Callithrix jacchus: one gene and its partners. The protein of the gene in region 4 purifies or fractionates together with the protein of the main gene of each other region. This does not show direct contact. Links are inferred from orthologs where the notes say so. Each region holds a gene or a part of one and is shown on either strand. Other genes may lie near its edges.

Region 1 (7,676 bases), on a different chromosome or scaffold from region 4:
CTCCGACAGAACATGATAAGGCCTAGCTGATGTTAAGAATATGTATGTAATTTATGTATTTATTATTTTTTGTAGAGACAGAGTCTCACTGTGTTTCCCAGGCTAATCTTGAACTGACCTCAAGTAATCCTTCTACCTCAGCCTTTTAAAGTGCTGGGATTACAGGTGTGAGCCACCGTACCCAGCCTATACTTTTTTTTTTAAATTATTATTCTACTTTTGTTGTTGTTGTTGTTATTTTGTTGGTTAATTCTGTGCGCTTCTCTTTGCCTCTTCGATTTGTCCTGCAGAAACCAGTGTAGGGTGGTATTATAGTGCTTGCTTGAGATCATTAGCTTTGTCATCTACCTAGGTTCAGAGAAACAGCTCAGCAACATCCAGTGTGCTTGAGTCCAGAAACTTAAGCTCCTTGTTTTTAGTTTCCTCAGGAAAGATGATGTACATACCCACTGCATAGAAATAATTATGTGATTTAAATGATGACATGATATATAAAGCTTTCGGCTCAATATTATTTGTTACCTACACAAATAAATACTGTTTGCTAATAATTATGCGATTCCTAGAAGTAAGCCCTTAGTATTGAGTTCCCACATTTTAAAGATGTTTTTAAATAATGGTGTTAGTTACTCTGTATGGAGTAATACTCTGTTAAGTGCTGGAGTGCTGGAATCTTGCTGTTTTGTTTTTAATAGTTTCTGTTTTAAAGTTCATTGTAAGTATTGTTTTTAAAATACCTGAGAGCGTGAAGAAAATGGGACCTAGTATTAATGGACCATTTCCACTTAAAACCTTGAAGATCTTGGTTTAACGCTTTTCATCAGTATCACGTATTACTGACAGGGGAATGGATATTCAGCAGAGGAGCATGAGGAAAAGATTAGAGAAAAGAACATGAGGGTGACAACTACTATAGCAAGGATTTTAAGGAGTGAATAGACTGTTAGATATGAGATGACACCTATTTTGCAAGACACTAATGACCCACTCAAGAACATTCCAGTGCCTCTTATGGGAGTAGGTGTAATAGTGGTTTTATCATTGATTATGATGATGAATTTGCCATCAGTAAAGATGAATACATGCTTAATTCAGTTGTATATGTGCTCGTTGGTTTGCTGAATTAAGTGTTTGATGAGGGGATAAAATTGTCCTTCAGCACTGGTTCTAAAATGTGATTTAAATTTTTTCTGATTACTGAAGTAGCATTTTTAAATTTACCAAGAAAAACAGCAAACATTATATTCGTGCTAACACTTGTAGGCAAACAGTTTTGCTCTGGTACCCTGAAACCTGCCTGTTGCATGGATGGGATGCCTTGCAGTTCCTCCAGGAACGAAGGGAGATAAGCAGCCTTGTGCGAAACCGCACTAGGTCATTTTTCATTCTCCAGTGTTTCAGTTGCGCATGGGACTTTCCACTTGCCCACCCTTTGGGCTATAAAGTGGCTGAGCTATAGTTAAAATTGACTCCTTAACAGCAGAGCAACCCACAGCCTGCCTGTATTGCCTGTTATCTGGGCCCTCTGATTTGGTGTAATTGGTGGAAATAGAAGCAGGGAGCTGACACCATTCTGATTTGACTTTTGCTGTAAATAAATTTGTTTGGCCCATTATCTCCTGTGGATGAGGCACTGTAGCCATTGTGCTTTTGCCTAGGGATGGGCTTAGCTGTCAGAAAAATAACCCTGAGTATCAGGTCTCTTCTACCTTCACCAGATTCCTAACTTAAGTTGGCAACTTTCTACTCCTAGGGCCTTCTTTTGGCTTTGTGTGGAGTTTTAATTGGAACTGTGTTACATTATCTTTTTTTTTTTTTAATAGTACTGTAATCCACTTAGCATTGCTAATTAAAAGTCACATTGTACAGTAGTGGTTTTGAAATTTTAAATACTAATTTTCTTCTTAGGCTTTTCTACATTTACTAATTTCAGAAGAACCAACTAGCAAGAATGAGTATGTATATACATTTCAAACTATTATGAAAAATTTACATATACACAAAGATAGATTATTATTTTTATCATCATTCTTGTATATCCATTATCCAGATTCAATATTAGTCAGCCTGCTTTCATTTATTTATTAGTTCTCCTTCCCTTTGGATGAAGTAGAGAGACAACATTTTATATTGAAATGTAGTTTAATTTCTGTTGAAATTGTTGTCTGATTTTCTTTTATATGTTCTTGGTGATGTGATTTTTTTTTTTTTTTTATAGTAGTGGGGAAGATACCTGCTCTCATACTGAGCTGCTGTAGATAAAGGCTTATTGAAACCACTCTTGTACTGTATTTAATTGGAAGTTAAGGAAAAGGGGCATAGCTTAGGCTTTCATATCTTTTTTTAAAAACTTAGTTTTAGAAGGGGAAAGGGAAATATTTAAGAAACAAACAACAGATTCCTGAGAAATGAGTATTGCAAACATCTAGGCTCTTAAAGGAAAATAGGCTTTCTCAAGTACCTACTGTCTCCTTGACAGAAGAGTGTAGAAACTGAAATATATCAGATTGTTTAAGACACATTGGTGTTAGTGTGTTATCACTGTGAATAAGTAACAGGAGTTTGAGAACCCTTGGGTGAGAATTGAATCATCCCCAAGAATAGAGTTGAGTTGAAGTGGACTGGGGTGTTTAAAGGTTTCTTGGAAACTGTAAAGTCTTTACTAAACATATCAATTGAATGACTCTCATATGTATGTCAAATGAGTCATCAAAAGATAAAGCTTGCAGATTTTCTTTAATTTTCAGGGTTTTGAGAAGTTGGAACATGAGTTGGCCTCTTAGGATTTAGATATACTGGAAGAGCCTCAGACTTTATTCATTCTGCACAAATTATTGTCTCAGAGTGCTATTTAGTAGAAGTAATATGAACAATATATGCAATATAGAAGTAGTCATGTTAGAAACCAGTTAAATTAATTTTAGTATATAGTTTATCCAAAATATTTTTAACACACAATCAAATAAAAATAGGAGATCATCATTTATATTCCTTTTCTTTATATTAATTTTCAATTCAGACAGACACATATGATTAGTGGCTGTCACTGAATGTCATTGGTATAAAATGTGCAGGATTTCCACAGTGGTGCCTTGATAAATGTCTATAATTTCAGCACAAAATTTTATTTTGAGTAAATAGGTTTATAATATCAAAATGCGATTGGAGTAATTCAGACTGTAGTAGCATGCTTTATTGAACTTTTTCTGGTAATAAAAGTATTTTTTTACCCACTTTCCCACTTCTAGAGGAGGTTTTAATTGAAAATTAACAAAAGGAAGAAAAGACAGTGAGGAACTATGAAGCTCTTATATCAGTTCAAAACTTAAGTTGGTCATATTTTCAGTAAAAACTATGCACTATTGCTCCAGAAGTCTGAATCTCTTCAATCTGTTTATTCTCTTTTTGCTTAGTGGGAAGTGAATTTAGCCAGTCTGAGTTGCTTGCTACATAATTTCTCCTTACATCTCCTTAGCTCAACCCCAGACCGAAAGGATTAGCAAACGAACAAATCCATGTATTTTAACAGCGTGTCCTCTGATTATAAAGTCGATAGCAGAAGTAGATTTTCTGTTTCAGATTAATCATTTCTAAATTAGAACTAATGAATTAGGTTCTTTGTATATACCTGACTTCCTGTATTCAGAATATGATAAAGAAAAAAAGATTTTTATTCATTTGAATTTCTTTATCAGTTAACATCTTGGTATCTGCCGTTTTCTTAAATGCGACATGAAAATGAATTCTAAAAATCACTGAATAATATCAAGCTCAAAGGCCTGATAGACTTAAAACTAGTTTTGTTTAAACATAGTTTTAAAAATAAACGTCCAACTCATTTTTTTCTCTTTGTTTGCTAGTCGACAGCAGGAAATAGAAGAAAAACTCATCGAGGAAGAAACAGCACGAAGAGTGGAAGAATTGGTGGCGAAAAGGGTGGAGGAAGAACTGGAGAAAAGGAAGGATGAAATTGAACGAGAAGTTCTCCGAAGGGTGGAGGAAGCCAAGCGCATCATGGAAAAGCAGTTGCTCGAAGAACTCGAGCGACAGAGACAAGCTGAGCTTGCAGCACAAAAAGCTAGAGAGGTAACGCTCGGTCGTTTGGAAAGTAGAGACAGTCCATGGCAAAACTTTCAGTGTTGGGTTCTGCCTCCTGCTCAGTTCAGAAAGAGATGGAATACAGACTATCTAATTCCTTTCTCGTCTAAACTTACATTGCTGCGAAAGTTAATTTTTTAGCCTATTCAGAAGTGCTGACTGATAACTTAAAAGTTGGAAGCTTTTATAAAACATATTCAAGGATACTTTTTGATTTAATGGAACTGGCTGTCTATTTAAGAAGTGTTTGAAACTTTTGCCATGGCTGCAGGACTTACATTCTTTCTTGGGAGGACGGTGGGGAGACAGGGAGTGGTAAAGGAAAAAGGTTAAAAATCCACCTGTGGTTGGTTGTATATTCTATTCTCTATCACTCTGTTACCTAGACTGTGAGAGGCTTTTGCCTTCAGTCAGATTAAAAAGAGCAGGGCCTAACATTGAGTGATAGCACCTGCTTTGATAAATAGGTTTTCTCACTCTTGTTTTTTTCCTTCTTTTATCCCTCACTCCCCACCCCAAATCCTGCTTCAGCACAATGGACTAATTCTAGCATTCTGATCATAAGGCCCTCCATTTTCCTAATGTGTTTCAAGGAATCTTTTTAGGAAAAATATCCAGATTATTCATCCACTTTTTTTAGTATCTACTAACAACTCCTTTTTTTCTCTAGAGAGTTATGAAGGAACAGGTTGTCCTTGTCTGGAGTCAAGCTAAACACATGATTTGTTTTTATCAGCAGCTGGAGCAGAAGTTGAAAATGTCTTTCTGTGAGACAGTAATTTGCTACTGAAGCTTTATAGCTTGCTTGCACTGATTACTCCAGGATCCAAAAACTTGGTGAAAGTCATTGAAACACTCAAGGCAAATTACTTTACACCCCTGAGTGTCTGTCACCATGGTTGCATAATGAATATGAATCCCATTGGTGTGTGACATAGGAAATCCTGTAGTTGTATTTTCTTCAATGTAAGTTGAAATATTTGACACAAAATAATGATGACTCATTGTCATTTTTCATCTTTGCATTATGGACAATTGAAATACTAAATCTCTTTGCTTTCTGATAAGCTTAGCTTTTAAAATTCATTTTCCCTTGTCCTGTCTTTAACTAGATATACACGCTTATATTTATAGCGGGTTTCACAGACTATAAAATTGAATTATGAAATTTTTATTTATAGCAGTGCTTTTAATGAAGATTTTTTGGAGTAATGGTGCTGTCTTGTAGCGAGTTATTAATCATAGTAAGATTTTTTTCTCTTCATTTGCTTTTTTGTTTCATATTAACAATTTTTTTTTACACGGACACAACCCTCTGACAGTCTTTCCAAATATTAAAATTATTTGAATATGTATGCTGTGATCTGAACACTGCCCAAACCATCAAGCAGTCTTCATACAGTTTGCATTATAAAATTTCATTAAATTCTCCAAGAAAAAATAAGTTGAAGAATTTTATTTCCTGACCATGCATCCCCTGGATTTCTGAGTTTCAGTTCAGATTGTAGATGACAATATAAGCTGCCTTCCGAAATTGTCAACATCTGAATGTTAAGTCCATTTTCCCCATGGAAGAAGCCCGTAGTTCCATGAAGTATGGATTACCATTTGTATTTTTCACTAACAGTAAATGTATTTTTCTTATTAATTGTTTGCCTTAGGAATGATGAATTACATTTTTTGTTCCTTCTTACCATAAACATCTGCATTCCTCAGCTCAGCCTTCCTTGTATGTTGTTTCTTTATAAATGGTTGAGCTGCTGATGCAGGTATTGCCAAGCTAACAGTACAAATCATTTTAAAGAGGAAGCTGGCGTGTATGGCAGCCGAGGAGCACACTCTGCAGGACACTGGACAAGACAGTAAATATTCAACTTTTAATGCTGATTAAAGGAGTATAGGTAAAGAATACGTAGGTATACATAATTGGTGAGACAAATATTCACTTTATTTATATTTTATATATTATTTTTTTAATTTGGTAAATACTATCCAGTTTTGTAGTTGTCCTTGTTGATTTGTGTGATATTAAAGTATTAGTAATAATTGCCAGGAAACTATCATTAGGGAGGGTTTAGTTGGTTGCTGTTTGGACTGGGAGGGATGATTTAAATTTAGTGCTAGAAACCAATTTTAGTGGCTGCACAGTTTATCATTTATCAGACAGAAGGTAGCTATAAAGCTACCCCGTAAGTCATATCAAAAAAGTTCAGAGGAAGATTAGTAAATATTTATCAGTAAAAATAAACATTTTGTTTTTCTAACATCTTAACATATCCTCCCCTTTAGGAGGAAGAACGTGCAAAACGTGAGGAACTAGAGCGAATACTGGAAGAGAATAACCGAAAAATTGCAGAAGCACAAGCCAAACTGGTAAGTATAAAGTGTATGTGAAGAGTGTTTTGTATTTTGCTTTATTAATTTTTTTCAGATTTTGTGGATTGATTTTTGTGCTCTGTAATTTGACTTATTTTGAGGCAATTCTCTGGACTAACTTTAAAGGCTTTTTGAGGCAAAGATAGGAATAATTGAGTAGATTTTTACTACTCAATTTGTTTTGTTCTCTATCGCAGTTTTTTCTTTCCTAACCTCATTCACATTTCTGCTATGCCAGAAAAACTAATAGCACCAACAACGAAAGCTTGGAGGTGTATTTAAATCAACTATAATATGTAGCATTTTTCTTTATATTCGTTGGCTTGTTATCAGGAGTAGATAGTATATTTTTGATAGTAAGTGTACCAGAATAATTTCCTATCCCTAGTTTATAATCTATCAAGAAATACAAAGTCTTCGGTAATACGTAATATAGAAAGATGGGGGAAAAGCAAGTTGTAAGCTCCAATTACGTGGTATAAAGAAATTTTGCGGTTATAAATGCACAGAAAAACATCTGAGAGGGTCTAATTAGTTAACAGTGGACCCCATTGAGAGTAGTGATGAAGGGGTACCATAAATCTTAATAGGAATGTAAAAAGTTAATGTGGGACAGTCGTTTCTAGAGTATCATATTCTGAAAGATAGTGCACTCCAGGTAACAGATAATGCTAGAAATATTCCAGATAACTTAGTGAGCATGGCACAATGGATTCTTGGTAAATATCACCTGGTATTTGTGAAGGCCATAATGAAATCTATTGGAAAGCTATCATCTGCTTTTCCCAATAAAATCTTAAAATCTGCTAAGGTAGCAAAAGCAATAGGAATGTGAAATGGATGATCATTATAAGTTATATTACTACATGCTTATGAATAAGGATCTGATAACTTTTTTGTTTTGTTAGTGATTCTGTGTAAGGAGAGAATCTCAGTGCAGATAGGAAGAAGAGGAAAAGTATGAGTCTGAATTTGAGATTAGAAGGTTGAGCTTTGAAGGATAAATACACTCTGGTTTGTGAGGCATGGATGTTTCAGAAGAGAGGAAAAAAGTGTGACAGTTAAAACATTGAAGCAAAATTACTGACCAGATAGAACTACACCTCCTTTTAGGACATGTTAAAGAGATTGGATAGCTGTGGTGGCTTCAGTTTGTGGGTGGCCTGGAAGCTTAGTGTGCCCTGCCAAGATCGATCCCTTCT
Region 2 (7,676 bases), on a different chromosome or scaffold from region 4:
GCAGAGGTTCTTAGAATGTTTTATATGTTTGTTGAAATGGAAATATGTCCAATATAAACTGTTAAATGAGAACTACAAATTATAGAACTGAGTAAAATGTAACCCAATTTATGTAAAAATAAATTTGTGTATATACTTATGAATGCATATAAAATGATCTGGAATAATATTCCAACATACCCACAGTGCAGGGGTTAGGAAGAGAGATTTTTACTTTACATATAGGTGTATAAGTTTGTAATCTTTTTTTTTGAAATGGAGTCTCGCTCTGTCACCAGGCTGGAGTGCAGTGGTGCGACCTCGGCTCGTAACCTCCACCTCCTGGGTTCAAGCAATTCTCCTGCCTTAGCTTCCCAAGTAGCTGGGACTACAGGTGCATGCCACCATACCCAGCTAAATTTTGTATTTTTAGTAGAGGCGGGGTTTTAGCATGTTGGCCAGGATGGTCTCGATCTCTTCACCTCATAATCAACCCACCTCGGCCTCCCAAAGTGCTGGGATTACAGGTGTGAGCCACCGTGCCCGGCCCATGCTTGTAAATCTTCTTACCAACTGTAATTCTTTATTTCTTTTTCATGATTTATAATCAGTCTAAGGTCTTGTATGTCTGGATTTGAGGTTTGAAAATTAGAAACATCCAAATGACAGCTTGTTAGTATTGTTATGCTCCTTCATAAAGGTTGAGGACATAATTCAGGAAAAGCTGAAATTGTTATGCATATTATTGATAGGAATTGATACAGGTAGCATCTAGCAGATTTTCAACATCTAGATGTTTCACCCTTTCAACTTAATAAATGTGATTTAAAGTGTTGCAGGTAAAAATTAATGGTTTTATTCCTATTTATAGATTTTTGATGAAATTGAGTCATGAAACTGTAACCATTGAATTGAAGAATGGAACACAGGTCCATGGAACAATCACAGGTATGGAGGTTGGACTGCTTTTATAACATTTTTTTTCTTCTCTTCCACCTGCTAGCTTCTTTTTTGGATTGCTTAATGAACATTATTGTAGTACAAATCCTTATTTTGTCTAAATTATTTAATTGATTTTTGGAGACAAAGTTTCGCTCTATCACCCAGGCTGGAGTGCAGTGGTGTGATCTTGGCGCACTACAACCTCCACCTCCTGGGTTCACGCGATTCTCCTGACTCAGCCTTCAAATATCTGGCATCACAGGTACCTGCCACATGTCTGGCTAATTTTTGTGTTTTTAGTAGAGACAAAGTTTCACCGTGTCGGCCAAGCTGGTCTTGAATTGGGCCAGGCTGGTCAGTAGACTTCAGATGATCCACAGGCATGAGCCACTGCACTTGGCCTAAGTAGGTATTTAGTTATCCCATAAGTAGGTATTTAGTTATCCCATTTGTTCAGATATGATTTGAGAAAGGCTTCAGTATTAGGTGTCAGCTATAATGTCATATTTTCACCCTGAAAAATCTTGCTTTGTATTTTGTAAAATCTTAGAATAATAGCTTAATGAGAAAAACAGATTGTGGCAGACTACTTAAGAGCCCGTGCAGCTTTATAATCAAAGTATTCTTAATAAAAGCAGTAACAATTTTTTATTTGTATACATAGAAGCAGAAACAAAGGTGAGGATAGTTTGGTAGAATGGGGCTTATGAGGAAGTTACAATGACTGGGAGAAACAAGTAAGAAACACCTGTCAAATTGGTAGCTCCTAAAGCCCAGTCAGGGTTCTTCCATGGCTTGCTGCATTCACTTCTGTAAGCAAAACATTAGTGTGCTAGGAAAAATCTCTAGGAAGGAAACACTGCTGATTTATACTAACATTATTCCCCCATTTACCAGTCGCACGTGCTAAATTGTGTCACAGAAAACTTACACTGTAGCAGAACAGTATTCTTTTGTAGTCCAGTATTTACTGTGGCTTGGTAGATTAATTAGTTGCCTTCCTTGTATCATACTAATAACTGCCCAATTCTTTTCCTCTTGAGGTGTGGATGTCAGCATGAATACACATCTTAAAGCTGTGAAAATGACCCTGAAGAACAGAGAACCTGTACAGCTGGAAACGCTGAGTATTCGAGGAAATAACATTCGATACTTTATTCTACCAGACAGTTTACCTCTGGATACACTACTTGTGGATGTTGAACCTAAGGTGAAATCTAAGAAAAGGGAAGCAGGTAAGTTTGAAGGAATATAAACATTTTTTTGAATGCCAATCCTAATCTACACTACTCATAATATAAATATTTGTAAACAACACAAGTGTCTTTGTTGCTTAATATTTCCTATAGTATGTATTATAACTCCTGGAGTTGCTGTTAAAAACATTGATGTATTTCCTGTTCAAAGGATTTATCATTTTCTGTCCCCTGCCCCCACTTTGGAAGATTTGGAGATGGACTCTTTATTCCTAGTATTCTGAAATTTCTTAATGTCTTGGTATAGGGGCTTCTCATGTCTGTAATTGCAGCTATTTGAGAGGGTGAGGTGGGAGAATTGCTTGAACCCAGGAGGTGGAGGTTGCAGTGAGCCAAGATGCCACCACTGCATTCCAGCCTGGGCAACACAGAGTGAGATCCTGTCTCAAAAATAAATAAATTAAATTAAATTTGTTTTTAGGCTGGATGCAGTGGCTCATACCTATAATCCCAGCACTTTGGGAGGCTGAGGTGGGCGGATCACCTGAGGGCAGGATGAACTCCCAGTCTGATCAGCATGGAGACTCTTTAACAGACCAGCCTGACCAATATGGAAAAACCCCATCTCTACTAAAAGAACTTTGTTTTCTTTTTTTGAGATGGAGTCTCGCTCTTGTCACCCAGGCTGGAGTGTAATGGTATGGTCTTGGCTCACTTCAACGTCCACCTCCCAGATCCAAGCTAATATTCTTCCTCAGCCTCCCAAGTAGTTGGGACTACAGGCTCTTGCCACCACACCCAGCTAATTTTTGTATTTTTAGTAGAGGCAGAGTTTCACCATGTTTGCCAGGATGGTCTTGATCTCTTGACCCCGTGATCTACCCACCTTGGCCTCCCAAAGTGCTAGGATTACAGGCGTGAACCACCAAGCCTTACCTATTTTCTTTCTTTAAAAAGAAAAAGAAGCCAGGCATGGTGGCTTCCAGTACTTTGGGAAGCCCAGATGGGTGGATCGCCTGAGGTCAGAGTTTGAGACCAGCCCGGCCAACATAGTGAAACTCCATCTCTACTAAAAACACACAAAAAAGAGCCGGGCATGGTGGTGGGTCTGTAAAGGCTGGACTGCAGAGTGAGACCCTATATCCAAAAGAAAATTTAGAATGTGACTGTATCAGGATTTTCTAATATTTATAGCTGTCTGAAGATGAAATGTTTATTTGGGTGATGAGTTCTCTGTCATCATGATACTCAACTTGAGTTAGGATGACCAAGTGACAGGGATATTGCTATATGGGTTAAAGCACTAGATTATGTTTGGGTCAAATGAATTTTAATTTTCTGAAGAGTTAATAAGATTGTGATTGATATCATAGTTATAAACTTTCCTGGATTTGAATTAACTTGCTTGGATTTTATTCAGTTACCAGACTCTGGCATCAGGTTATTCATGTTCTATTGATATATCTCTTCCATTTTTTGTGAGGTTCAAATCATTTTATGGTGAATTTGAGACATGATATAAAGAAAACATATTTAAAATTTGACAAATTTCTTAGTAAATAAATTGAAACAAATAATAATCTTCCTAGGCCTTTAGTTCTTGGTTCTGCATGATAATGTGTTGAGGGGGTGGCGGGAAATCTGAAGTCTTAACACATTTAAGAGAAGCTAGTTAAACTTAACTTTACTGTAACTGCTAATAAAGAGCTATAAACGGGGAAAGGTGTCTGTGTGTAAACGCTGTTTGTGGTGGCTAGGTAACATTCATGCAGAAGAGAATTGAATTTGCTTTGTTTTTCTTTTCCCTCAGTTGCAGGAAGAGGCCGAGGCCGAGGCAGAGGAAGAGGACGTGGCCGTGGCAGAGGAAGAGGGGGTCCTAGGCGATAATGTTTCTCATGATTACTGTTTCAAAGTCATATGGGATCTGGGATATTTTTTGTACAGGTTGTGTTTGTTTATGTCAGTTTTTAATAAACATAAATGTGGGACAGAGTGGTCTATTGAGTATATCAGAGTTTTAGTAGTTTCCTCCACATTCATAAGAATACCACAGTGAAAGCTAAGCATTTCTACTGGGCAGTTTCATTTTTAGATGATCAGGCTTTAAGTTTTGAACTAAAATTTTTATTTTTATGATAATAAAAATAAGGTTAAAAGAAAAGCCTCAGACAAATTAAATTTGACAGTTTAATTGAGCAAAGAACAATTCATAAATCAGCCCCTGAACCAGAATCGGTTCAGAGGCTTCAGCCCAGCTGCATAGTTGATGAGGATTTATGGACAGAAGAAGGAAAGAGATGTATGGAAAATGGAAGTGAGATACAGCAACAGCTGGATTAGTTACAGTTCAGCGTTTGCCTTATTTGAATATAGGTTGAACAGTTCGCAGCCTTTGATTGGCTGAAACTTAGTAATTGGCCCAAGAGTAGGGTACCATCTGTTTACATAACCAGTTAGGCTGCAGTTCACTTTGTACTGAGAAACCTTTAGGCTAAACTTAAGATATGTAAAGAGACAACTTTAGGCTAAACTTATATAGAATATATACCCTTTTACTTCACATGCACTGAATGTGCATTTTATTGCTTTACTCTGACATCATTCTGTGGCACCCACCTACAAGGGGAAGTAAGTTCTTTTTGGTATTTCAGAAACTAAAGTCCTTGTGGGATGGGGTCTAAAATTCTCAATTCCTGGGGGGCCGGGCGCGGTGGCTCAAGCCTGTAATCCCAGCACTTTGGGAGGCCGAGGTGGGTGGATCACGGGGTCAAGAGATCGAGACCATCCTGGTCAACATGGTGAAACCCCGTCTCTACTAAAAATAACAAAAAACTATCTGGGCATAGTGGCACGTGCCTGTAATCCCAGCTACTCAGGAGGCTGAGGCAGGAGAATTGCCTGAACCCAGGAGGTGGAGGTTGCAGTGAGCTGAGATCCTGCCATTGCACTCCAGACTGGGTAACGAGCGAAACTCTGTCTCAAAAAAAAAAAAAAAAAAAAAATTTCGCTGTTCCTGAGTTTTACTCCACAGAGTCTAAGGTACTTGGTAAAAAGTTGTCTTCTATATTAAGGGTCATTGCTTTTGTTTTCTAGCTGCTGATTTTTGTTTCTTTTGCTTTTTAATCAGTTCTCAATAGGGTATAGTTTTAATGTTCTCCAAGTTGAAACTTGGAGTTAAATGTTCACTAGATTATCAGTTGTGAGCAGTGTTAAAACAGGTTAATGTGGAATGTACGTCAGTGCATCCTTTAAGGGGTTCTTTGAGAATAAAAGAGAAAAGAGCTACTTCATTTGACTGCAAAACTGTTCTAATTGTTAATAAAGATTTTTAAAAAATGGTTCTAATTGGTTAAGCTCAGAAAAATGCCTCTCTGTATCAGTTTTTTGTAAAGATTACTACCAAATATTTATATGCTAAGGAAAAAAACTGAGGATGTGGGTGACTTAAATCTGTATTTTCTTCATGCATGTGAATTGTTAAATAGGGAAATTTTCTGCAAAGATTGTTACCTAAAAAAAGTTTAAGTCCTATAAGAGGTTTATATAAATTGAGAGCAAGAGTGGGGATGTGTATGTTTTAAAGAAGTCACTATAGCTTGCAGGGACTCGGTGGGTGCTGCTGGATGCCCCCTCCCCGGCAAAAATAAAGAAGTCACTATAAAACGTGCATATAAATGTATATTATATAAATATAGTATATAATAAATTTGAATTTACTTGATGAGGTAAGATACTTTAAAAACATTATCGGCTGTGTGCAGTGGCTCAAATCTATAATCCCAGCACTTTGGGAGGCCAGGGTTGGGGAATCACTTGAGGTCAGGAGTTCGAGACCAGCTTCGCCAACATGGTGAAATCTCATCTCTACTAAAAAATAAAAAAAAATTAGCTGGACATGGTGCTGGCACCTGTAATCCCAGCTGTTTGGGAGGCTGAGGCAGGAGAATCATTTGAACATGGGAGGTGGAAGTTGCAGTGAGCTGAGATTGCGCCACTGTACTCCAGCCTGGGCGACCGAGGGAGTTTCCATCTCAAAAAATTGTATATATATTTATACTAATAGATATTAATATAAATGTGGAATGTACCTGTCATAAGATATATAAATTTATATATTAGTATAAATACATATTAGCTAATATATCTATTTTAAGTATCTTACCTCATCAAGTAAATACTTTTTTATTTTTCCACAGTTGATGTTCTGTTTTTTCATAAGTCATTGAAGTTATGTAGTAATTAGCTTTTTCTCCCCCACAAATTATCGGCAGTGGTCATCCAGTTTTATTACAGGTTCTATGATCCAAAAGGGGATGTATGAAATTAATGATGATTAAGACAATTCTTTAATAGTATATTAAAGGTGGGTCGGCATGACAAGATACAACCAATATGTAATTTTTTGCCTTCATTAATTGAGCTGGGGAATAAATATCTGGATTTCATTCTTTTCCATCTTCTGATCTATTGGTGCTCCTATTGGTTGTATCCAAGCAGAAGACAAAAGGGGAGAGACTCCTGTAATGCAGCAGGTGGAGAGGAGATTTGAAGGGGTCAAACAGAAAAACCCTGCAAGAGTAGGAAATCAACATAGTTGGCTCTGTCCTCATGGAACTTACAGACTAAAAGGAAAGCAGGTACCACATAAAAATTGGAGCTGGATACCATGGTGCACACCTGTAGTCCTTGCTACTGGGGATGCTAAGGCAAGAGAATTGCTAGAACCCGGGAGTTTGACGCCATAGCATGCTATGATTGCAACTTACAGCCCTCCAGCCCTGGGTAATCTAGTGAGACTTGACTCTTAAATTTAAAAATTTTGAAAATAGCCCGCATAACATAAGAGATCTAAAATTATGTTTTTGGCCTGGTGTGGCAGCTCACGCCTGTAACTCGAACACTTAGGGAGGCCAAGGTTGGCAAATCTCTCAAGGTCAGCAGTTTGAGACCAGCCTGGGTTAACACGGTGAAACCCCGTCTCTATTGAAAATAGAAAAGTTAGCTAGGTGGTGTGGTCGGTGTCTGTACTCCCAGTTACTCGGGAGGCTGTGGCAGGAGACTCGTTTGAACCCTGGAGGAAGAGGTTGCAGTGAGCCGAGATCATACCACTGCACTCCAGCCTGAGTGACAGTGAGACTGTCTCAAAAAAAAGAAAAAATTGTTTTGAGAGTTTTCATGTCTAGGATGTTTGCAGTGTGAAGCCAGTCTAATAACAGTTTAAATGTAATAATAGACCACAGTGGATACTAGATTGAGTTTGTTCCACTAGAGGTCATTATTTCATTTTCATGTGAAAGGGCTAAAATTGTGTGAAGAAAAAGCTATTTGAACTAATTACCATCATTTGCTATAAAGAAAGAATTGTAGTATGAATAGAAAACAGACTAAAGTTTAACATGTTTTTTTGTTGAGACAGTCTCATTCCGTCACCAGGCGCCAGCCAGGCTGGAGTGCAGTGGTGTAATCTTGGCTCACTGCAACCTCCGCCTTCTGGGTTCAAGTAATTCTTCTGCCTCAGCCTCCCGAGTAGCTGGGACTACAGGCGCGTGCCACCAAGCC
Region 3 (7,676 bases), on a different chromosome or scaffold from region 4:
ATAAGAAAAACAACTGGTTCTGTTTTACCAAAGAAATACCCATGGTTAACTCAAAACTATCATACAACAGACCATAATTTCTTTATCAGTTTCCAAAAAACTAAAATATCAATGGCCTGTTAAACGACTGTACTGTGTAATAAGGGTACTTAAAAAAAGAAATGAAATATATTGACTTTCCTCAGTAAATATTAATTTTCTTATTTGAAATGAAAAGAAGCCATGAAACCCAAAATATGATCTAACCAAGATTACATGGAATTAAGTGGCTTATGATTTTGAAATCTAATATTCTTATCACAAAGACACCAAACAGTAACAAAACACAAAATAATGGTGTATCCATTTTAATTATTCCCCAATGGCTTCTGATGTTTTTATCACTATAAAAACATTTGAGAACCACGTAAGAATAAGATGGAAGGGAAAATTTAATAGTAATTTGAAAGGGATTCAGACTCTGCTGTACCGTAAAGCTTAGATTCTTTTGTTCCTCTCATTCTCAAGCAAAAAAGTCATTAAAATAAATCAGAATTTCTAAAGGAATAGAGAAACAGATGTTATGTATTGGCCAACAAAAAATTCAGGCATCAGGGATAGCAGATAACTAAAAATAAACGAGGTGTTAACAGAAAGTCAGGGGTATTACTACTGGATATTTTTAAGCCTCTCTTACAAGGCATAAATGTTTCTCAAAGCAAATTTACATAGCAATAGGAAATTATATTCATTAACTAAAATGGAAGTCACTATCATGTTTACTAAAACTAAAGCCTGCAGTGCAACTGACGCCACAGTACTAACAGTTTTCCCTGTATGTACATTCACTTATTCTGCAAATAAGGTCTTCAGCCACAAATTAACCCTTATAAAGAATGTGGGTCAAAATAAATTTGCAGTCTGCTTTCCCAGCCACATTTTGTTTTAACGCAAATTATCCAATGCCTGCAAAGAATGCTCAAAAGTCTTTGAACCTGTTTTTTTCTTTTAAATAAAGGATAAAATTTCAAAATTAGAAGAGACTATGAGAGAACACCAATTAATGAAGTGCTAATTGGAATAATACTTGAATTTAGACTAACCCTCAGTCTAATATCCACCATACATGTTGGAATAGACAAGAAATTTTGCATGAATTTGATCACTCACATAGGCAGTTATACTTTGAAAACAATATTCCTTGCAAGGATTACGAATAAAATGATGTTTTAGGACACAATTGAATTTGAAATAGGTAATGTTTTGAATAGATTTTTTAGTTTTATTGAAATCTTACATGAACAAGAAATTGGAAATACAATCACATCAAAGAACAAATTGTCACGGCTTTTGACGTTTAAGCCAAACAAATTTTGTAGGGCAGATTTCAAAAAGGTGTGAAGTTATAACAATTTAAAAACACAGTTGACCTACTTCTAGGAATGCAAAACATACAATCATAGGTTATTTTCAATACAAGAAAACTTAAATTTGTTTGCTTTAATCTCTTAAAACTACTAAGACAAAGCACTAGCTTGTATTTTTATTTACAGCATACTCCATACTCCTATGTAATCTATTCCAAATCCAAAAAAATGAAACTGTCCAAAACCAAAGGTTCTGCAAAATCATGATTTAACAGTGTGCCCAGCTTGTTTTGAAGCTAAAATGAAGCCTGAAACGATAAAAGCATTGTAATCCCCAGAATAAGGGAACTCTGCAAGCCCAATAATGTCCAAGAGCATTTATGAAAAGAGGAAAAATAAAAAGACTTGAGTATATACACAATAGTGATTTCTTCAGCCCAATACAAATGGCAGCAAATTGCTACTTAAAGATGAAACAGTTAAGCCATTTTTTTTTTGAAGAATGTAGATCTAGAGCCAATCGTATCTTGCCAGTATCATTTTCAAGCCCTTACTTGTCTACTTCCACTGTTGCCCATAAGTATCCTGATAAAATTCCTGGTTGTCATTATTGTAACCATAGTTACCAGAATAGTCACCACCTTGCTGAAGCGGCTGCTGAGCGATGGGTTGGGAACCCCAGTTCTGTTGGTTGTTGGTCTGACGACGCTTGGAATCAGGCTGGTTGTACCCATCTGCCTTTCTCTTGCCTCCTACATTGCCCCCACGATTGCCCCGAGATCCACGGGAACCACGGCCTCTCTGCTGTTGTGCAGGACCCCCTCTGCCACCCCTAGAGCCTCTTGGTGGTCCCAAAGGTGCCCCCCTCTGTGAATAGCCAGCTCTACCTCTTGGAGGTGGTGCTCCCCTCCCCCTTGGTGGTGGTGGAGCACCTCGCCCTCCCCTTCCTCCTCCTCTTCCTCTTACTGCATAGCCATCATCATAGCCGTAGTAGGGATCTTCATAGCCTCCACGATAGTCGTGATAATCATAACCATAGTAATCATCATAGTAATCTTCATAGCCATAGTAATCTGGAGGGTAGCCATATCCACCTCTCCCCCCACCACGACCCCGACCTCTAATTGGAGGTGGCATTCGAGGAGGAGGGTGGTAGTAATAATCTTCATACCTAGCAAAGGAGGGAAGGGAGAGAAGAAAAAACAAATTAGTTTGCTTCAAGACCCCTGATTTTATTAATCTGATCTCCATTATTGTTATTCCTTATCCAAAGAGATAAATACTAAAATGTAGACTCACGCAGTGCTTCTGGAGGCCTGTCTAGCAGCTTGACGCTCTTTCCTTTTCTTGTCTGGTGGCTTGGCTAAGACTATTTCAATTTCTTCCCCTTCTATTTCTTTGCCATTCATTTCATCCATTGCCTATATAAAATTAGAAAAATTAATTTACTTTACAATGTTTTATAATAAAACATAACATACACATGTCATTAATATACTTAATAAACAATTTACTTCACAATTATTTTAAATGGCAAAAGGTAAATCTAGCCAGAAAGGTAAACGCGCACACGCGCACACACACACAGAAAAAACGTTTCCCTTGACCTAATCTTTTTATATGTAAATTACATCAAGAACAAAACCAACCTCCTGATATTATATTTTAAAAGGTAAAATAGTTGCCATCTATTGTTTCTCCTTAATTCCAAATAACCAACTCCTTAAAAGATAAGCCATACTAAAGAAAGAAGCAAATCCATACCAGGGAAAAACGCCAGTATTAATGCAAACCAGACAAAGATTAACTTTTCAGGATTAATTTAAAAATAAACGTGTGGCATTCAACATACAGGTCTTACACTGTTCTTATATAAAAATTTCAAGGATCTGAAGCACAAATGAGGTTACTGAGTGAGATTATCTTTAAAATTCAACGAGATACCAACACAAAAAGCCCAAGTTCCCCTACAATGCTTAACCCAAAATGTACTCTGCCTGAACAGTTAAAAGTAGAGAGCCAGAAAAGGCCTGGACTAATGAAGTAATGAAGACTCAAGCAATTACGCAGAAAGCAGTAATCAAACATTCCACGTTCTTGCCCTTTGTTCATGCTGTTCCACCTAACAACCTCTGCCATTCATCAAAAGGTTCAGATAGTAAGAAAATGTCACCTCCTCGTAATTTATTTTTTGTTTCCCTCTACCTTTCCCCACTCTGGGCGCACATACTAAAAATGTTCTATTTATAAAGAACTATCAGTGATTTATAAGTATCTAGAAAAAAAACTGAAGACTTCAATTTTCCCTTTTACCACCTCAGCTTTACATTTCTTCCGTTAAAGCAACTCAACAACTTTACAAAAGCTTCCTGGCATAAATCAAAAAATGAAACATCTATTGTCTGCCCTGACCATCCTAGTGACTTCCCAGTTCCTGGACTAGATATTTTGTAATTTCATAGGCTTCTTTGGCAAACCATCCTAAAACAATCGAGACAGGAGGAATATTTGGAAAGCATAAATTATCAGTCATCTGCATTCTATACCAGTGGAAATTTCAGAAGCCACACATTAACAGTTAAGAGTGTAACAGTATAACAGGTAAGACTCCATATTTCAAAGCCAGGTTATTACTGAGTTTATGATCTTGGACAAGTTATGAATTTTATTAACAATACCATTCATTAATTAGCTACCATAAATGAGCAAGCCAATTAATTCTAAACTAGTCAGAGATTCTATAAAGCCTGTTTAAAATGCAGTAGCCTGGGCAAAAAACAAAACAAAAAAAATGCCCAAATTAGAGGTGCAGTACCCTGTCGACCAAATATGCAGAGAAAGAACCAAGCCTGTGTCACTGAGCATTCTGGATCTATCTTCCTAATAACATAAAAAAGATCTTAGTAATGTTTTGTCTTCCTTCCCATCCCTTCAAGGAAGGACAGATGAACAAGAAAAAGAAACTGAAATTTTCACCCATTAAAGATGGATCTAAACTGCGGAGCACAGTGGCTCAAGCCTGTAATCCCAGCATTTTGGGAGGCTTAGGTGGGCAGATCATGAGGTCAGGAGTTCAAGACCAGCCTGACCAACACAGTGAAACCCTGTCTCTACTAAAAATCCAAAAATTAGCTGGGCATGGTGGCATGTGCCTGTAATTCCAGCTACTCAGAAGGCTAAAGCAGGAGAATCACTTGAACCCGGTAGGCAGAGGTTGCAGTGAGCCAAGATCATGCCATTGCACTCCAGCCTGGGTGATAGAGCAAGACTCCACAAAAAAAAAAAAAAAAAAAAAAAAAAATATGGTCCATTGTCAATAGAAAGCAGAGCAGGTTTTGTGTTCCAGATAGTATATGAAAATACATTTTTCACACTTCATTGTCATCAAAGACTATTATACACAAGAGCTAACTCTAACAATTACTGAAATCAGTAAAACATAGCCAATGTTATTTTAACTCTAAAATAATTAAAGTAAAACTAATCATACCATCACAATGTATCTACCCAATCAAACACTGTATACTGTGAGAGTTATGTGCACCATTCAGTTTCCTTCATAGGTACACAAACTGAGGTAAACTAAGTAGTTATAATACATTCACTACCTATTTAGTGTTTACAGCAGCTAATTTTTATGCCTTGTAATACTTCCAAGGCATCATGCTATCAAATCTTACAAAACAATACAGAGATTAAAAATAGCTTGCCTAAAATCACCAACTCAGTAATAATCTGGCTTTGAAATATGAAGTCTTATCTGTCATAATACTACCACTTTAGAGATTAAATAGAAAGTTCCAGAGTTCAGCAAAAGCTAACAACCAATTTTATTTGTTTTTAAAGTTATTTTATGTGTTTAGCAACTTTTGAAAACAAAATTCAAATATCAAGAACCAAAATTCCAAAATTTCTACCTTAACGGCTGCTCCTCTGTCTTCAAAATGAACAAATGCATAATCTTTCAACTTCTTCACTCTTTCAAGTTTTCCAAATTCAGAAAATGACTTTTCCAATATTTCTTCTGTGACTGTAGTAGCCAAATTTCTCACAAACAAAACTTTTACCTAGTAAGCAACAAATAAACGGAACTGTAATTGGCTACTTAATTCTACCTGAAAAGTGTTTCTTCCTGTCTTCAAAGCATAGGCTTTTCCCCTCTAAAACATTAAGTGCTAAAAGTGCTGTTACAGGTAGTATAAGAAACTGCTAGGAAAATTATACTAATAGCAGTCATCAATTTATAAAAACTATTGGTTACTGCCTTCTCCTATGTTGTCATTAAAGCACCTAACACTGAGTAGAACCTTCAAGAAACCAACATATAATTATTATTTCAAGTTAATTAACAAATTTGACATGGTCCCCAAGTCCACTTCAAAATAAGCTTTTCTTTCTTCCCTCTAAAACCAAGTAACTTTTAAAAGTTCATATGAAAAAATAAATAAGCAAGAATAACCAGGGGGAAAAAAAAGTAAAATTTAGAGACTGGCCCTACTGAATATAAACAAACATAATCCTTAAATCACTAAATCAGGTACTGTTAATCAGAAAAAAAAAAGATAAAAGATGGTCCACACTTCACACTATAAACCAGCATAAACTCCCAACAGATTGAAAATTTAAATGATAAACGGGTGGAGGGAGGACTAAGAAAGTATCAGAATAAGGATGATTTCTTTATATATCACTGGAGTGGAGATGACCATATGACTTAAAATCCAGGATACATAAGAGTGATATACTCAACTACTAAAAATAAATGACTTCCATATGGCAAAAAATACCACAGGCAAAGACAATAAATATGGAAGAAATATTTGCAACATGTATCATGAACAGCTAATCTCTCTTTTATATCAGAGCACCAGAAAATAATAAAAAGCTCAACAACTGAATAGAAAAATAGGCAAAATTCATGAATACATGGTTCACACCAAGAAATGTATATGGCTCTTAAAATATATTTAAAGTTCAAACCATGCATAGTAAGAGAAGCAAATCATTAATGACACTGACACACCATTTGTTAACAGACTGGCAAAGTTCAAAAGTTTGATCATACACTGTTTTGTCAAGAATGACGAAAACTGTTCTCTTGTATTTTCCTGGTAGAAATGTAAAACAGTGTATGTCCTACAAAGGGTATATGGCAGTATCCTAACAATTACAGATGTATTTACCCTTTGGCCTACGATTCTACCCCTAAGAACCTCTCCTACAGATATATCTCAACTTCTATCAATTGATACAAGCTTATTCATTACAGCATTGTAAGAGCAAAAGATCAGAAACAATTAAATATCCAGCTGGTTAAATACACTATAGTACATCCACAGAATAGACTACTATGTAGTCATAAAAAATGAAAGAGAGCTCTATGAGCTATAAGAGATTGACAGGATACACTGCTTTTCCATCTCTGAAATAGAGAAACAACTTAGTCAATGTGATAAGCAAGCATTGTGCAATAGTTTAGTTAGCAGTGTTTTATCATTTCTTAGTGGTACATATAATAATGGTACATTTCCTTAGAGCTGATGAAACAGGATGGTGAATAAAGCAAATGTAGGTCAGTGAACATGATAGGCTACCAACATTACTACCACTCATTTAAGAATTAAGGAAATAAGAATATATATTTGTACTTGCCTAAGGAAATATTAAAAAGATAAACCAAAAACTACTAAAACTGGATGCCTTGCAGGGGAAAAAGGAATTTGGTAGACATAGGCACAGGGTAGAAAGGAAATTTGTCTAGACTTTCTATATAACTTGAACTAAGAAAATGTAGCACCTATCCAAATTAAAAAACTAACATACTGAACAAATTGTTGCTTAAAAGGGCTATCCAATAAGAAGACATTAATTTAAGGAAGAAAAAAAACTAACATTTTTCACAAATGCTCCATTCCCTTTATTCTCAATCTGTCACACTGAGGTCCAGCCTCTATGTTACACAGACTCCCACTGACTTAGTTGCTTTTTTAAAAAAATTCAACATGAACTTTTCTACGATTAAACCATAACATACTATATGAAAATTACTTAGTGAAACTGTGTTTAAAATGTTCAACAGGAAAAAGGGTCCCTTTAAGAGACATAATTTAGGCTTTTAGGTTCTGATCTATTGTAAACTGATCCAACTTGGCAAAAAAATCTTCAGTGAATTCACTGAATATTTTGATAGTGTGAATAACGGAAGCTTTACTCAAATGGATAAACTTTTCAACTAGAAAACAATAAAGGGGCTGGGAACAGTGGCTCACACCTGTAATCCCAGCTCTTTGGGAGGCCAAGGTGGGTAGATCATGAGGTCAGGAATTCAAG
Region 4 (8,414 bases):
GGTTGAACTAAGAATGATGACCTGGGGTCTCTAAGCTTCAAAGTGTTCAGGTAGTGATGTGGCAGCTTCTTTTTGAGACGGAGTTTCGCTCTTGTTACCCAGGCTGGAGTGCAATGGCGCAATCTCGGCTCACTGCAACCTCTGCCTCCTGGGTTCGGGCAATTCTCTTGCCTCAGCCTCCCGAGTAGCTGGGACTACTGGCACGCACCACCATGCCCAGCTAAGTTTTTGTATTTTTAGTAGAGATGGGGTTTCACCTTGTTGACCAGGATGGTCTCGATCTCTTGACCTCGTGATCCACCCGCCTCGGCCTCCCAAAGTGGTGGGATTACAGGCGTGAGCCACCACACCCGGCCGATATGGCAGCTTCTAAACAGCCTATGAGCAGATACAGGAGCAAAGACATATGACTTAAAGTTGGAATTTATAATTAAAAGGGTGCCAGGCATGGTGGTTCAGCTGGATGTGGTGGCTCACACCTGTAATCCCAGCACTTTGGGAGGCCAAGGCAGGTGGATCACTTGAGGTCAGGAGTTCAAGATCAGCCTGGCCAACATGGTGAAACTCTGTCTCTACTAAAAATACAAAAATGAACCAGGAATGGTGGTGGGTGCTGTAATCCCAGCTACTTGGGAGGCTGAGGCAGGAAAATCACTTGAACCCAGTAGGTGGAGGTTGCAGTGAGCTGAGATTGTGACATTGTACTCCAGCCTGAGCGACATAGTGAGACTTTGTCTCAAAAAATAAGAAAAAAAAAAAAAACAGGGCCAGCACAGTGGCTCATGCCTGTAATCTCAGCACTTAGGGAGGCCAATGTGGGCGGATCATGAAGTCAGGAGTTCGTGACCATCCTGACTAACATGCTGAAACCCTGTCTGTACTAAAAATAGAAAAATTAGCTGGGAATAGTGGCATGTGCCTATAGTCCCAGCTACATGGGAGGCTGAGGCAGAAGAATTGCTTGAACCCAGGAGGTGTAGGTTACAGTGAGTCGAGATCACACCACTGCACTCCAGCCTGGGTGACAAAGCAAGACTGTCTCAAGACAAAAAATAAAATAAAATAAAAAGGGGGGAAAGTGGTCAGGCTCTGTGGCATGTGGCATGTGCCTGCAGTCCTAGCTACTTGGAGGCTGAGGTGGGAGGATTGTTTGAGCACAGGAGTTCTGGGCTGTACTGTATTATGCTGACTGGTGTAGGGAGCCAGCCCCACACCCATCCATGGGTACCCTGAGTTCAGTGGTGACAAAGGAATTAGAAAAAGATAGATTAGGAGAGAAAGCAGGACCAGGGGATGATCACTTCTTTACTGGAGGCAGTGAAGGCCCAGTATATACTGAACACGATCGCTATTATCTGTAGTGCAGGCGGCAGGGTGAGTCGGTGGAGGGAGGCTGTGCATGAAACACATAACTGTTAACAGTGGCAGTTCATGTGAGTTTCTCAAGCGCTAAAAACGTATGCTTACCAATAGACAACGTAGCTGGTGGGCCTACAAGTCTGGTTACTTTGTAATGCTGCAAAAGGGTTTAAAGCCCTTGAGCGTGTTATGTACTGTTACAGAGTCAAGGTCACTCTGCACGTGGAACAAGAAGGCTTGGGGACGTCTGCCTCCCCAGAGGCCGGGCAGTTTGCTGCTTTTTACTGTTCCCACCGTTTGCAGCTATTTTACAGAGGCACTCTGTGAGCCCTCCTTCCATTGCCGTCCCCCCCAGCAACTGGGTGTCCGTACTAAGTTTGGCTTCCATATGGTAACCTCCCAGGAGCGGGAGACTACCAGGTTGCCTGGCAAGGGGTGAACTAGCCTAAGGCTGGAAATGGAGCGGGTCAAAACTCCTGATCGACGTGAGTGGGATCATGGCAGTGAATAGCCACTGTACACCGCCTGGGTGACACAGCGAATAGCCACTGCACACCAGCCTGGGTGACACAGTGAAACCCTGTCTCTGGAAAATAAATACATACATAAATAGGAAGCAGCACAGCAGAAAAGTTTGGAAAAATCACAAACTGGCAACGTGGAAGAGAAGAAAGAGCATTTGTTTTGAGATAGAGTCTCACTCTGTAGCCCAGGCTGGAGTGCAGTGGTGTGATCTTAACTCACTGCAACCTCCGTCTCCTGGGTCCTGGTTCAAGCAATTCTCCTACCTCAGCCTCCCAAGTAGCTGGGATTACAGGTAGGAGCCACCATGCCCAGCTAATTTTTGTATTTTTTAGTAGAGACAGGGTTTCACCATGTTGGTCAGCCTGGTCTTGAACTCCTTACCTCATGATCCACCCACCTCAGCCTCTCAAAGTGTTAGGATTACAGGCATGAGCCAATGCACTTGGCATTTTTTTTTTTTTTTTTTTTTTGGAAAGTGAGTCTCAATTTGTTGCCCAGACTGGAGTGAAATGGCACGATCTCAGCTCACTGCAATCTCTGCCTCCTAGGTTAAAGCGATTCTCCTGCCTCAGCCTCCTGAGTTGCTGGCCTTTTTCTTGAAAATTAGTCATTTGAATTTTGCAATAATTTCTATAGTTATTAAACAGGCTATTGAATCCATCCACAAAACTTAAAATGCAATACTTAACAACAGGGCCTTAAATAAAATAAATGCCAGCTCTCTGATCTCACGGCCAACAACCTGAGATTCCTGCCATCTGGTCCCAGTTCAGGACCTTTGCGCCTGCTGTTAACCCTCCCCGTCCCCCGATCTTGCTTCTATCTGGCCTTTGTTCAAATGACACTTCAGAGGAGCCTTCCGTTATCACCCTTTATAAAATGGCCTCACTCTCACTTCCCATCCCTTTACTCTGCTCTGTCCTTCTTTATTATGCTGGTCACCATCTCAAATTATTATTATTATTTTAAGATAGAGTGTCGCTCTTGTCACCCAGGCTGGAGTGCAATGGCGGTGATCTCTGCTCAGGGCAACCTCTGGCTCCTGGGTTCAAGCGATTCTTCTGCCTCAGCCTCCAGAGTAGCTGAGGTTACAGGCTCACACCACCATGCCCGGCCAATTTTTGTATTTTTTTGTAGAGACGGGGTTTCACCATGTTGGCCATGCTGGTCTCGAACAATTGATCTCGGGTGATCCGCCTGCCTCGGCCTCCCAAGTGATGGGATTACAGGAGTGAGCCACCGGGCCCAGCCCTTAAACTATCTTTATTCAGTCAAGCGCTTTTATTGTCTCCCTCAGTACAATGTAAGCCCAAGCAGGAGAAGACTTTGCTTTAGTCACGTGCTGTAGCCCCCAAAGCCCAGACAGTGCCTAGCACATACGAGATGCTCGATGAGCAGTTGATTGAATAGATTAGACATCAACGCAATCAGGCTATTCACTTAGGGACTCTTTGCTAGGCGGCGGAGAGGTACGTTACAGTACTCTACACAACACGCATGCGCGAAAAAAATCAGGGAAGTGTGATCGGGAAAGGGGCGGAGCGTCAGAGAGAGTCTCGTGGACATAGGCGGTTCGGAGCGGAAAGCGGCAGGTGGAGGGGCGGCTTGGGGCTGAGCGCGCGCGCGCAGCGCAGACGCCAGCTCCAGGAGACTGAGGTACTCAAGGTGCCCGAAGGCGGGGTAGTGACCTCGCGCGTGCGCTTTGCCAGCGACGGCTCCTGGGCCTGGTGTGTGGGTAGGTCTTGGCCTCTCGCGGCGCATGCGCAGTGCTGACGGCGGAGGGATTTCAGGTCGAGACCCACCCCCTGCTCCAGTCGGTAGCTGAGGCCGCGCGGGTTGTTGAGCAGCGGCCTTGTGCGCTCGCTGCGCGGGCAAGGGAGTCAGGCAGACGCGGACGCCGTCGGAGTGGAAGCCAAAGCGGAAGTTCTTGTTGCTGAGGGGCCGCCGCAGCCGCCCCGAGCCTCCGGACCGACGCCAGACCCAGGAGGGCGCCGCGCGGCGAGTGAGTGTGGCCGAGTGGTCCGGGGTGCTGGGCCGCTACCCACAAGCCCCTGCGGTGGGCCCCGGTACTTTTACCTGCAGCCAGGCCCCTTTGCCGCGTCCCCTGCTGCAGGTCCCTTCTGCATCCCTTTCCCGAAACCCGAGCCCTCTGCGCACCCACGCCTGCTTCCCGTAGCGTCCTAGGTCCCCTACCCACAGGCCCTTGCGGTGTATGGCCTTTTTTCTTTTTCGTCTTTCCATGTTGTCCTGGACCTTTACCCATAATTCCTTTCGTCTTGGGGGCGCCCAGGTCTGTTACCCACAGGCGCTTGGCTTTGGGGCTTCGCTGCTTATGTTTCTCTTTGCCCGGAGACTTCAGACCTCCAGGCCTCTGCAAACCGCATCTCATAATTTGTCCTCCAAGATACGAGACGAGCAGCCAGCCACAACTGCTCTGTGCCTCCTTTCTCGGGTCCTTGATTCCCCCAGAAATCCCCAGGGAAGCTCTCCGCCACACAGCTCGTGGGTCAGGACTCTGAGACCTCACTGCTCAGGAACCCTTTTCCAGCCTTTGTTTTTTGTTTCCTTTACGGGCCTGATTTTCACCTCCACCCCCACCAAGAGATGCCCTTTTCTCTTCTAGCGTAGGACGGTTCTCTGCCCTTTCAGAGCCTCTTCGAATTCCGAGACTTTACTCCTGTTTTCTCTCTTTTTCTTTTTTTTTTTTTTTTTGAGAGTCAGGGGACAAATAGGGGCTTTCTCTGTGCAGACCCAATCTAACCTAAGGCTGTCCTGCTTCTGCTCTCAGACTTGGCAAGATGACCCAGTTCCTGCCGCCCAACCTTCTGGCCCTTTTTGCCCCCCGTGACCCTATCCCATACCTGCCACCCCTGGAGAAACTGCCACATGAAAAACACCACAATCAACCTTACTGTGGCATTGCGCCGTACATTCGAGAGTTTGAGGTGAGTTCACTGAGCAGGCCAGGAATGGTTTGGGTTGTGGGGTGCAAGGATTGGATCTGGGAGTCCAGCCTCTGACTGGATTTGCTAGCTGTGTGATTTAAGCGACTGGCTTCATCTTTGTGATCCTCAGTTTCCCTGTTTTAAATGGGGTTGGAGCCAGGTGTGGTCGAGTGCACCTGTAGTTCCAGCTACTCAGGAGGCTGAGGTGGGAGGATTGCTTGAGCCCAGGAGTTGGAGGCTGGATTGCTTTGTGATTGCGCCACTATACTCCGGCCTCGGTGACAGAACAGGACCTCATCTCTTAAAAAAAATTTTTTTTTTTTTTTTTTTAAAGTGGACTTGTGGCCAGGTGCGGTAGCTTATGCTTGTAATTTCCAGTACTTTGGGAGGCTGAGGCGGGTGGATCACCTGAGGTCAGGAGTTCAAGACCAACCTGGCCAACATGATGAAATCCTGTCTCTACTAAAAATAGGAAAATTAGCTGGGCATGGTGGTGGGTACCTGTAATCCCAGCTACTCGGGAGACTGAGGCAGGAGAATCACTTGAACCCGAAGGGCAGAGGTTGCAGTGAGCCCAGATGGAACCGTTGCACTCCAACCTGGGCAATAGAAAGTACTGTCTCCGAACAAACAGACAAAGTGAGGCTGGGCTCAGTGGCTCACACCTGTAATCCCAGCACTTTGGAAGGCTGAGGCAGGTGGATCACCTGAGGTCAGAAGTTCAAGACTAGCCTGGTCAATATGGTGAAATCCCATCTCAACTAAAAATACAAAACTTAACCGGGCGTGATGGTGCTTGCTAGTCCCAACTACTTGGGAGGCCGAGGCAGAAGAATCACTTGAACCCGGGAGGCAGTCATTGCAGTGAGTCGAGATTGTCCCACTGTACTCCAGCCTGGGCAACAGAGTGAGGCTCCCATTTCAAAAAAAAAGTGGGGTTGATGGTATACCTTTTGTAGAATTTCTGTGAGAAAGTTCAGTTGAGTAGTGGTTGAGGATTCACACTTGGCTTGCACCATTTAATAGCTCTGTGAGTTTGGGCAAATGTGTATCTTAATGCATTGGTTTCTTTATCTTTAGCAAGGGGATAGTGGTAGCACCCCTCATACTGTTGGTGGAGAATTAAATGGCAATGTGTATGTCAGGGGGCTTGGCATCAAGCAGGCAGCCTATGTCGGCCTTTGCTACTCTGTTTACTACTTTTATTGTTAATAAGATGGTGTTCATAAAGGGCTAGCACCGAGCGTTGGAGGGCTTAAAACCCCAGACCAGGATCTTAGTTCTGCACCTTCAGGGTAAATGACTTCAGGAATGAATGACTTAGGCTCCTGGACCTCTCTGTTTTTATTTGTGAAATTGGGATGACAATGGTCATCTTGTAGGCGTATCTGAGGACACCTGAGGAAAGCTGGCACACAGCCAGAAGTTACAAGAACATTCTCGCATTGGGTAGGAATGGGCAGCTGGAGGTGGAGGGAGTTGCAGAGCAGAACTTCTTAGATAGGACGGGCGTGGTGGCTCACACTTGTAATCTCAGCACTTTGGGAGGCTGAGGCAGGCAGATCACGAAGTCAGGAGTTGGAGACCAGCCTGGCCAATGTAGTGAAACTCTGTTTCTACTAAAAATACCAAAACTACCTGGGCGTGGTGGCACGTGTCCGCAGTCCCAGCTACTTGGGAGGCTGAGGCAAGAGAATCGCTTGAACTTGGAAGGTGAAGGTTGCAGTGAGCCGAGATCACACTATTGCAGTCCAGCCTGGTCGACAGAGTGAGACTCCATCTCAAAAAAAAAAAACAAGTTCACAGATAATAGGAAGGTGGATCTTCATTGGGATTTGCCACCCTGGATGAACCAGCACTTAAGAAATGTTACTAGCCAATTAACTTAATTTAATGGGCACAGGCAGGTGGTAGATGCCCTCTGATGATGATGTGCCAGTTACTATTTATGAGACTGAGTTTCACTTTTGTTGCGCAGGCTGGAGTGCAGTGGTGTGATTTCAGCTCACTGCAGCCTTCAGTTCAAGCAGTTCTGCCTCAGCCTTTCCAGTAGCTGGGATTACAGGCATGTGCCACCATGCCTGGCCAATTTTGTATTGTTAGTAGAGATAGGGGTTCGCCATGTTGGCCAGGCTGGTTTCGAACCCCTGACCTCCAGTGATCCACCAGCCTTGACCTTCCAAACTGCTGGGATTACAGGCGTGAGCCACCACGTCCAGCAACCAGTTACTATTTAATGCATGGTTGGTGACACCTTTAAGTGCTGCCCTGGCACTCAGAGGGTGTGCAGTGTGGGCTTCGGAGTCCTGTCCTGTCAGCTCATGTTGCTTCAGGCCTGGTCCTCTTAACTGACTCTCATAAACAGGGCCCTCCCGTAACTCCGCTCCCATCACATCTTCTGGCACTTTGTTCAATGTGAGTGATGCTTGGAGCTGTGAGAAGCAGCGTGTTTCCTGAATATGGAAGACAGGGACCTTCAGCACTGTATTTTTAAGCTAGGTGTCACCTGTGCCAGTGCTTTTCAAACTGTCATTGGTGAAGGGCAGTTTCCAATCTGTTGCAGATTGATGCTTTTGATAAATAGGATAGAATTACTTTTTTTTTTTTTTGCGACGGAGTTTCGCTCTTGTTACCCAGGCTGGAGTGCAATGGCACGATCTCGGCTCACCGCAACCTCCGCCTCCTGGGTTCAAGCAATTCTCCTGCCTCAGCCTCCCGAGTAACTGGGACTACAGGCGTGCACCACCATGCCCAACTAATTTTTGTATTTTTAGTAGAGACGGTGTTTCACCTTGTTGACCAGGATGTTCTCCATCTCTTGACCTCATGACCTGCCTTGGCTTCCCAAAGTGCTGGGATTATAGGCGTGAGCCACTGCGCCCGGCCTAGAATTACTTTTTAAAGAAAGACTTACAGTCAGAAGTTCTAGACCAACCTGGCCAATATGGTGAAACCTCCTCTCTACTAAAAGTACAAAAATTAGCCAGCATAGTGTCGTTTACCTGTAATCCCAGGTACTCAGGAGGCTGAGGCAGGAGAATCACTTGAACGATTCTAGTCAGTTCCTGGGTTCCTTTTAGAAACACACGATTGCTAGTGGGTTCCTTGTAGAGACAGCACAGAGGGGAAAGCAGGACGTAGAATCGCTTGAACCTGGGAGGTGGAGGTTGCAGTGAGCCGAGGTCGCGCCATTGTACTCCACCCTGGGTCACATAGCAAGACTTTGCATCAAAAAATAGAAGACCTGGCGGGGCGCGGTGGCTCAAGGCTGTAATCCCAGCACTTTGGGAGGCCGAGGCGGGTGGATCACGAGGTCGAGAGATTGAGACCATTCTGGTCAACATGGTGAAACGCCATCTCTACTAAAAATACAAAAAATTAGCTGGGCATGGTGGCGTGTGCCTGTAATCCCAGCTACTCAGGAGGCTGAGGCAGGAGAATTGCCTGAACCCAGGAGGCGGAGGTTGCGGTGAGCCGAGATCGCGCCATTGTACTCCAGCCTGGGTAACAGGAGCGAAACTCGGTCTCAAAAAAAATAAATAAATAAAATAAAATAGAAGACCTGCAGAATAAAAGACCAAATTT

What was found. The genes of interacting proteins can lie anywhere in the genome.
Region 1: the proteins of SNRNP70 (region 4) and ARGLU1 purify together in Homo sapiens (affinity purification with mass spectrometry; 3 studies listed by BioGRID and IntAct, with this or other methods). This does not show direct contact. The link is inferred for Callithrix jacchus from reciprocal best matches to the Homo sapiens genes SNRNP70 and ARGLU1.
Region 2: the proteins of SNRNP70 (region 4) and SNRPD1 purify together in Homo sapiens (affinity purification with mass spectrometry; 6 studies listed by BioGRID and IntAct, counting the BioPlex papers as one, with this or other methods). This does not show direct contact. The link is inferred for Callithrix jacchus from reciprocal best matches to the Homo sapiens genes SNRNP70 and SNRPD1.
Region 3: the proteins of SNRNP70 (region 4) and HNRNPR purify together in Homo sapiens (affinity purification with mass spectrometry; 3 studies listed by BioGRID and IntAct, with this or other methods). This does not show direct contact. The link is inferred for Callithrix jacchus from reciprocal best matches to the Homo sapiens genes SNRNP70 and HNRNPR.

The regions. Positions count from the first base shown.
Region 1 is NC_133502.1:22,211,239-22,218,914, reverse strand, and holds part of ARGLU1 (arginine and glutamate-rich protein 1), read left to right. Parts: intron 1-3,860; coding exon 3,861-4,086; intron 4,087-5,902; coding exon of another isoform or gene 5,903-5,989; exon of another isoform or gene 5,990-6,135; intron 6,136-6,387; coding exon 6,388-6,471; intron 6,472-7,676. UniProt on the Homo sapiens protein: Dual function regulator of gene expression; regulator of transcription and modulator of alternative splicing. General coactivator of nuclear receptor-induced gene expression, including genes activated by the glucocorticoid receptor NR3C1.
Region 2 is NC_133514.1:64,591,472-64,599,147, forward strand, and holds the end of SNRPD1 (small nuclear ribonucleoprotein Sm D1), read left to right. Parts: intron 1-850; coding exon 851-927; intron 928-1,964; coding exon 1,965-2,156; intron 2,157-3,927; coding exon 3,928-4,004; 3' UTR 4,005-5,481; downstream 5,482-7,676. UniProt on the Homo sapiens protein: Plays a role in pre-mRNA splicing as a core component of the spliceosomal U1, U2, U4 and U5 small nuclear ribonucleoproteins (snRNPs), the building blocks of the spliceosome.
Region 3 is NC_133508.1:60,066,033-60,073,708, forward strand, and holds the end of HNRNPR (heterogeneous nuclear ribonucleoprotein R), read right to left. Parts: intron 5,414-7,676; coding exon 5,264-5,413; intron 2,768-5,263; coding exon 2,646-2,767; intron 2,518-2,645; coding exon 1,905-2,517; 3' UTR 1,239-1,904; downstream 1-1,238. UniProt on the Homo sapiens protein: Component of ribonucleosomes, which are complexes of at least 20 other different heterogeneous nuclear ribonucleoproteins (hnRNP). hnRNP play an important role in processing of precursor mRNA in the nucleus.
Region 4 is NC_133523.1:42,897,436-42,905,849, forward strand, and holds the start of SNRNP70 (U1 small nuclear ribonucleoprotein 70 kDa), read left to right. Parts: upstream 1-3,696; 5' UTR 3,697-3,890; intron 3,891-4,672; 5' UTR 4,673-4,682; coding exon 4,683-4,829; intron 4,830-8,414. UniProt on the Homo sapiens protein: Component of the spliceosomal U1 snRNP, which is essential for recognition of the pre-mRNA 5' splice-site and the subsequent assembly of the spliceosome. SNRNP70 binds to the loop I region of U1-snRNA.